Linked DNA regions of Danio rerio. The protein of the gene in region 1 binds, or shares a complex with, the protein of each later gene. Links are inferred from orthologs where the notes say so. Each region holds a gene or a part of one and is shown on either strand. Other genes may lie near its edges.

Region 1 (3,988 bases):
GAACTTGAAAGATGCTAAAAATGCACAATTGTCATTATTATTACTATTTTGCTTTTACTTATTTTAAAATCTTTTTTTTTTTGCTTCTATTGTTGTTGTTTTAGACAATTAGGATTTGCACTGAAAGGAAGGGCAAATGCAAATTTTGTTGTATTTTGTACAATGACAAAAATTCTGATTCTTCTCGAGTTTTTTGTTTATTCTTGTAACAATTTTTTTTTGTCGCTGTAGGACCCAAACTTTTCAAGGAACCAAGTGCGAAGTCCAACAAGCCGATAATCCACAACGCCATTTCTCATTGCTGCTTAGCAGGGAAAGTCAACGAACCGCAGAAGAACTCCATTCTTGAGGTGTGTGACTTCACAGATTAATCATGAAAATTTGTTTATACAGACAAGCAATAAAATGACTTTGTGACTGATTTTGTGTCTGTAATTCCCAGAAATTTGCAAACAATTTTGTGATCTTATCTAACATATTAGGTAGCCGACTATGTTAGATGTGCTATCTGACACAATGACAAGGACACAAATCATAAAAATAAAGCTTCTTTATTTTGTTGTTTTGTCAAGACAAGATCTAAAACAGTTCTAAAATGATAGGGATTAAGCCCAAGGAAGGCTGTATTAATTTTATGCACGAATTTACTTTTTCTCTCTCTCAGATTTTGCTCCCCGGAGCATCTGACATAATGTACCTCATTCAGGAAATGCATTAGGGCTTCTTCTAGCACCTAAAAGATAGATTGCAGACCAAAAAACTTGTTGCAGGGAAGCGTTTTGGTTTTCTCTTGTTAATTGCAGGGAAAGAGTTCAACAACATCACTTATCGATTTCAACAACACTATTAACACCAGCCATACATGTAAAAGCACAAATAAGGTCTTTCAATTCGGTCAAGTCCAGCAACCGTTGTCCTTCAACCAATCTCCATTATTGTAAGCTGCTTACTTGTCTGTCTTTTGCATTGCTCTATTTTTGAGATGTTTGCTTGCACTTTTGTTGCAGTCTGAAGCACGTCAAACGCACAAAATGGCCAATTTGCGCCACAGGATGTCTAATCCCATCTTTGCATTGTCTTCATATGTAAATCAGTAGCGCTTCATTCGCGTGTGCTTACTGCACAGGCTGCAAAACACCCAACCACACGCATGTAATGATTGTGAGGGCGCAAGTGGCATGTCATTTTGTCGAGAGACACTCAAATACATCACGTACGCTGCGTATGCAACGTCTATAAGTCATGTAAAACATTTAAGTGCAAACTGAAATTAATATCATTTGATTTTATGGTTTGGAATTAGATGTTTTATGAGATTATAAACATTTTTTGTGATTATTTTGCGTTTAATTAAGAATTTTGCAGGATCGCAAAAAACTGTGTCTTTTTGTTGATTTTTAGTTGGATTTAGCGATCGCGGAATCGTGAAAAACTAGGGCAGGGGTGGCCAACCCTGTTCCTGCAGAGCCCCCTTCCTGCAGATTACAGTTGCAGCCCATATCAAACACACCTGCCTGCTATTATCACCTGGTGTTCAGGTCCTGATTAATTGGTTTAGGTGTGTTTGATATGGGTAGCAACTGAAATCTGCAGGAAGGTGGCTCTCCAGGAACAGGGTTGGCCACCCCTGAACTAGGGGGAGTCTGTTTATAATACTAAATCTTGATGGTGAACACAAAATAAATGAAATGATTGTGTCTTGACCGGCAGGAGCTGGAGAGGTGTGAATCCAACCACTTGATGATTCTCTTCCGGGACAGCGGCTGCCAATTCAGAGCCCTTTACTCATACTTCCCTGACACAGAGGAGATCCACAAGCTCACCGGCACCGGGCCCAAGAGCATCACTAAAAAGATGATCGACAAACTCTATAAGTACAGCTCGGACCGCAAGCAGTTCACTGTAATCCCCGCCAAGACTGTGTCTGTGAGTGTAGATGCGCTGACTATCCATAACCACCTGTGGCAAGCTAAAAGACCCGCAGGGCCAAAAAAGAGCGCGAAGTGAAGTCAGATGACACTATTTTTTTTCCATCGAGGTCAGTAGTCACTTTGAATGGAAGAGGTTCGCTGGACAAACAGGCATGAGTTATCATGCACTTCATTTGAATGTGTTTTGGGTTGAAGTAGTACCCACAATCCTGTGGTGTTTTTACATGAATCACTCTTTTGTTACTTGAAGTATTTATTAGTTTGGCACTGATTAGCTCGTTTAAACGAAGCGCTTCCCCCATGATTGTTTGCCTTTTTTTTTTACTATTATCTACTTAACGTCTTTCAAAACATGTCTGCTGCCTCCGAGGACTGCCGGAACTCGAATTAATGTACAAAACTTAGCTGACTTGCCTCTCAACCAAATTTTTTTTGCCTCCAAAAACATGCTGCTCCTTTGTTGTCGCCGGGATAATCCCGGGTCTGCATACTTTTGGCCTTCATGCGTTGTGGTACTGTCTGTTTATTCAACTCTTTCAAATAAGCGCCTCGGTTTTAACCCCCCCGCTTGATGGTCTTTTTTGATTGGGAATCAAACAGACCTTGATAAGAGTCAGATGCAGTTTACTTATCTTTCTCGGTAGCGGCCTCTTCCACTGGACAGTCTGTACTATGGTGCACTTATGATCATGTTTTAGTGCTTTTATTATCATGCAATGTAACCATGTTGATGTTGGCACTGGAGCTTTTTTTTTTTTTTTTCCCTCATGCAGAAGAGCAGCATGCTCTGTTATGAAGAGTGTCGCTGTAAACGATTTGAATGACAGTATTTAATATATTCACAATCGGTTACTTCCCTTGCAGTCGCTGTCTAATTATTTACCAAGGTTGAAAACATTCCTCAGCGAAACAAGTCAACACTGCCGACGTCCTTTTGCGTGTAGACGCTCGAAAAAACACTCACAGAAGCCTCGTGTCTGGTGTCAAGATCAATTGAGTGTTGCACATGCACTTTATTTTTTTGCTCATGACGGTGTAGAGGTTTAAAGGGCTTAACGAAACTGTTTTTACTCCTAAAGCTTCAGTAGATTTGAAGGTACTCTAGTAGACACTGAGAAATAAACACTATTAACACCGGAAAAGAGCACACTGACAGCCCCTTTCGTCTCTTAAACTACTGTTTCCAAACGATAGGTGTTAGAATTGTCATTTTAAACTGCATTTTTTTGTATATTATGTGTGTTTTTATATATTACCTAAAAGATTGTATTGATGTTGATCACTTTTTTTTTTTCTTTTTAAACACTACTCTTCGTTTTTTTTGGCCATTTTGCTTCCTTTATCTTACCATTATTTATTTTAAGCAAGACTCTGAGAATTAATAAATATTTCAAGTCAATACATTCATTCTCATTATTTTTGTTTATTTCTGATTATTGACATTCTCATCTTTCTTCCACTTTATTTTCTTGCACATTACATTGAGTTTTGTCTGCCCGACTGCATGACTTTAGCTCTGATTTTACAGGTTTTAAGAAATCACAGGAAAATCGGTGCTCTTTCACGTGAGTAACAATCACACCATGTGATCTATCAAAACACGCAATCTGGGAGAATTTCCGATGAGTCGCTGACATCCGCCAGATATTTGGCTTGTTAAATACCTGGAGCTGTCGCCAATTCAAAATCCTACCGTGTGAAATGTGTTCTGATTGAAAATCACATCTGAGATTACTTACAGCCAATGAGAGAGCAGCATTCACTAGGTGGTTTATTTATAAACTAATTTCAAGAGGATCACGTGGTTATGATTGAACACGGCTGGTACCGCATCAGCTCCGTATATTGCACCAATCAGATGAATACTGATGCACTATAAATAGCCAGATTATTCCACTCCAGTCATTTTCGTCTTGAAGAATCCCTCGTTCCACCCCAACTCCTCCCCTCCAACCACGGCGGCCCAGTAGTTATCACTGTTGCCTCACAGCAAGAACACCACTAGGTCGGCCCCTCACCAAGGCAGTTGGTGTTTCTGTGTGGAGTTTGCATTTTCT
Region 2 (4,334 bases), on another chromosome or scaffold:
GCAACACATCTCTGGGAAACATCCACACACACACATACACACACACTCATACACTACGGACAATTTAGCCTTCCAAATTCACCTGTACCGCATGTCTTTGGACTGTAAGGAAAACCGGAGCACCCGGAGGAAACCCACGCGAACGCTGGGAGAACATGCAAACTCCACACAGAAACGCCAACTGAGCCGAGGCTCGAACCAGCGACCTTCTTTCTGTGAGGCGACAGCACTACCCACTGCTTCGCCCCTATGTTTATTTCAATTCATTTCAATTTCATTTAATTTATTTAGCGCTTCTACAAATTACATTGCATCAAAACAGCTCAACATAGAAGATTACAGTAAACTGAAATCATGTCAGTCCAGTTTTCAGAGTTGAAGTTCAGTTCAGTTTAGATCAGTGTGGGTTTAATTTCATTGCTAAAAGTCAAAACACCGAAAAGCAAAATGAAATGAAATACAAAGAAAATCACATTTGCTTGAAGTCAATATTAAAATTGACATTTTAGTAAGGTAAGGGGGTCCCTTGCACAAATATGTTCTTATTTGGGGGCACTGAAAAAAATGATGTCTGCAGAATTGTTGCTAACAATTTATTTGTGTTGAATTTAAATAAACAAATTAAAATTAATAAAATTTAACCTAATTTGTTAGTTTAAATCCAGCCCAAGTTGTTTACAGCCACTTAACCTAAAACATTGAGTAAATCCAAGGAATCATCTCTGAATATTTTTTTTCAGTATGTTCCCTCAGTTTCCACTAATTGCCCCCACAATAATACAATACACTTCATGAATTTACCAAGTCTTAGTTAAAAGTTAATTATAAAGTACATATGTAAAAGCACAAATTTATACAACATCATATCAATTAATATGGCTAGATTTAAAGGATTTTTTCATATTCACAAGAGTTTCAATCTGGTCAAATTGTAGTCCTGAGATTAAACTAATGTAAACAAAACAAAAATAATTAGGTCACTGGTATAAAAAGTGTTTTAAAATCTTAATAGCCCAACTGGATAGAAAAACCAGCATACTTTTTCTTTTTTTCTACAGACAGTCCTCGTTGGCACTCCCTGCATACTTCCGGTCCATGCGCCATTCCTCGAGCATTGACCAATCAGCTTCCTCAACATCCATTAGTGCCCCGCCCATTACTATTCCAGCCTCGTTCTGGAGACAGTCCAGGAATATAAAGCCTTTGTCCGGCTTTCTCAAATTATTGCCGAGCCACACCGCTACTTTTTACATTCATTGGAGAACTTCTCGCACAATTTCTAACAATGAGGGAGATTGTTCACATCCAAGCCGGTCAGTGCGGAAACCAAATCGGTGCCAAGGTAAGAAGAGTTTTTCAGAGTAAAATCAGAGTCATTTATATTTAGCATCTTCTACTGAAAATATCTTAAAATGCAACAATGATTGTGTGTTGTATAGTTGAAGTTTTTTATTGTATTTAAAACAGAAACATTTTGTCTACTTTATATTTAACATGACCGTTAGGCAATACAGAGCAATTGTGTGTCCAGTTTTTGGCATTGCACACTTTACCAAACGTTATTAATAATGTATAACACTATAGCAACATGTAGAGCACTTTCATAACTCCTTCACTATGTACAAGAATCTACTTCTCCTCACACTGCTTTGTCTTGTCCTCTTTTTGTCTCATCTGAAGCCCCCTTTATTCACGCCCAAGAATATGCGGCTCCCACTCCTATTCATTCCCATTATGTCTTTTAGTCGCTCTGAATAGCATTTTTCATGTAAACGATGCTCAAATTCCACAGACTCCGAGCATTAATGTCTTTGTGTGTAAATTAGAGTTGTGGGTGTAGAGATTGAGAGAGGAAGAGGGGGGTCTGTCTGTCCTCTTTCTTTCTCTCGTTGTCTTCAATGCACCGGGTGTGGCGGATCTGATGGGCACAGCAGCAGCAGCGCTCTCTATAATTATTACCATGGCGACCTGTAATCAGTGTCGCGAGCCCTTTAAACAGCTGTCAGGACTCTGAGCGCAGCCACGTGGCACTAATATTACTATAGCATCTTTTTCTTTTATTTCAAGTATTTTATCCAGTTAGTCTCTGCCTGTCCTGTCAGTGAAGCGTTAGTGTCATCGATGTGCAGATATTGACTGCTGTGATTCAGTGGTGGAGGATGCTGGAAAGGGTGGGGCTGTGCAGGAAGACAATGAGGATTTAATTGAAGACATAACCATTGAAGTAGGCTAATAGTGGTAAATTATGAACTCTTGATTAGTAACATTATTATTATTATTAGTTTTAGTCATCGCTTAATTTGCTTTAAAATTGGCTTCTTTCTTACTTTGATCTCACAAAAGGATTAGCTTTCCTTTATCAGCCTCAGATATGACCAACTTGTTTGCTTTTACATTTCAACAAATTTACTTATAGTTCAATTTTATATATAAATAGTATATATATAAACTTTTTTTCCATGCTAAATGCTATTAAATGCAGTAGTTATTTTTATTGATGACCTCTTAACCACAAATTTTTATCATTTAATCCCTGAAGTTAAAGGTAAAAATAATTCAACATAAAATCATAAACTCTAAGAATCATAGACTTTTAAAGTTTTTGTTATGTATGAATAATGCTAATTTAAAATTTGGTATGAAATGTATATTTCCTAAAACATGTATTTGTCTTAAATAAAATTCCAAATTATTAAAAAGTACATTTAATTAAAATTAAAAATGAATGCAGAACCAAAGGTTTCTGCTCAATAAAAGTTTCCCAATTGATAACGAACACAAATAGTGACAGTTTAACCTTTTCTAATCATTCATTCATTCATTTATTTTCTTTTCGGGTTAGTCCCTTTATTAATCTGGGGTCGCCACAGCGCAATGAACCACCAACTTATCCAGCATATGTTTTTACGCAGCAAGTACCCTTCCAGCTGCAACTCATCTCTGGGAAACATTCATACACACTCATTCTCACACATACACTACTGACAATTTAGCTTACCCAATTCACCTGTACTGCAAGTCTTTAGATTGTGAGGGAAACCGGATGCAGGGAGAACATGCAAACTCAACACAGAAACACTCAAACCAGCGACGTTCTTGCTGTGAGGTGACAGCACTATCTACTGCACCACTGCGTCGCCCCCTTTTCTAACCATGACTTTTATTATTGCATATTTTTAAAATAATTTAATATTGTTCTGATGAACCAAAGCATTAAATTTTTGGTCAAAAATGAAGGAAGACCTTTAGAGAAATACATTTAGGGCTAGCGATTTGACCTAAAATCAAAATCTTTATTATTGAACATTTTAACTCGATTACAATTAATGAATGATTATTTTATGTATTTATTTTATGTTTTTGCCCTCATAGTTCACTAGTTTTTTACAGTAAATATCCTCACACATTACAAGTGAGAGATCTTTAAATGAAGGGTGCATTGCTTGATTTTAAAATAATTGGAGGAAACGCACACTGTCTACTTTAAATGATTATTTATTGAACATCAATGCTGAACAACTGAAATTGTCCGCGCCGCCCACCCTTGTTACCTCTACCAAACTGACCAATCACAAAGCTTGTGCTGTGTGTCATTGTGACGTGTAATTGCTTTTTTTTGAGAGGTGTGGGTATGCGAAGGCTGCGCCGGACCGTACGCTTGGCAGAAGTATAATGTCAGAATAATATAAAAAGTATAAATCATAATAGAGTAAGTATAAATTAGCCTTGAGAAAATGGGGACACGTGACTCCACACATGGCAGGGAAAGTAATTAATAAAATTGACCTGAAAAAATTTGATCGATTATAGGTTCTGAATGTCGATTGCGATTACTTTTTCGATTAGTCGCCCAGCCTTAAATACATTTGCCTAAAATCTGTAGAATCTGTAGAACTTTTTCACATACATGACCCAATTTTAAAACACGCCTATTTTAAAGATTGCTCATGAGATGTTGCATGACTTATGTGGCATTAAGAATTGGGTTAAATCGTCCTCATCCGTTATAAGACTTTGACATGCCTTTTAAATGATGAGATGGCGAGTGTCTGTTGAACTCATCTGAGGTCAGGGTGGGGAAGAGGAGGCATCTGCAAATGGACTTAATGCCTCTAACAGCTGCTGCCCATCCCTTCTACAGTACAGATATAAATGAAACATGAATAATGAATGACTAAATTGCATATTCATGGGGTAAAAAGAAAGCCCGTTGATTTGGTCAATTGAATAATTGGCAAAAAAAATTATAAAATGATTAAAGTAATTACATTATTTTCTTTTTGTTATAAAGGTCAAATAACTGAAGGTGAATGATTTCATACAGCATGTGTCCG

The links.
Region 2: the proteins of camsap1b (region 1) and tubb5 are in contact, whole or in part, in a cryo-EM structure (PDB 6QUS), measured with the Homo sapiens proteins. The link is inferred for Danio rerio from reciprocal best matches to the Homo sapiens genes CAMSAP1 and TUBB. Residues at the interface, in NP_056262.3 of Homo sapiens: Cys1486, Cys1487, Leu1488, Ala1489, Gly1490, Lys1491, Val1492, Asn1493, Ala1519, Gly1520, Cys1521, Gln1522, Arg1562, Lys1563, Gln1564; in NP_821133.1 of Homo sapiens: Arg306, His307, Gly308, Arg309, Asn332, Asn335, Lys336, Ser338, Ser339, Tyr340, Glu343, Gln426.

What each region holds. Positions count from the first base shown.
Region 1 is NC_133180.1:71,534,824-71,538,811, reverse strand, and holds the end of camsap1b (calmodulin-regulated spectrin-associated protein 1-B), read left to right. Parts: intron 1-231; coding exon 232-350; intron 351-1,710; coding exon 1,711-2,007; 3' UTR 2,008-3,330; downstream 3,331-3,988. UniProt on the Homo sapiens protein: Key microtubule-organizing protein that specifically binds the minus-end of non-centrosomal microtubules and regulates their dynamics and organization. Specifically recognizes growing microtubule minus-ends and stabilizes microtubules.
Region 2 is NC_133191.1:10,600,879-10,605,212, forward strand, and holds the start of tubb5 (tubulin beta-5 chain), read left to right. Parts: upstream 1-1,223; 5' UTR 1,224-1,285; coding exon 1,286-1,342; intron 1,343-4,334. UniProt on the Homo sapiens protein: Tubulin is the major constituent of microtubules, a cylinder consisting of laterally associated linear protofilaments composed of alpha- and beta-tubulin heterodimers.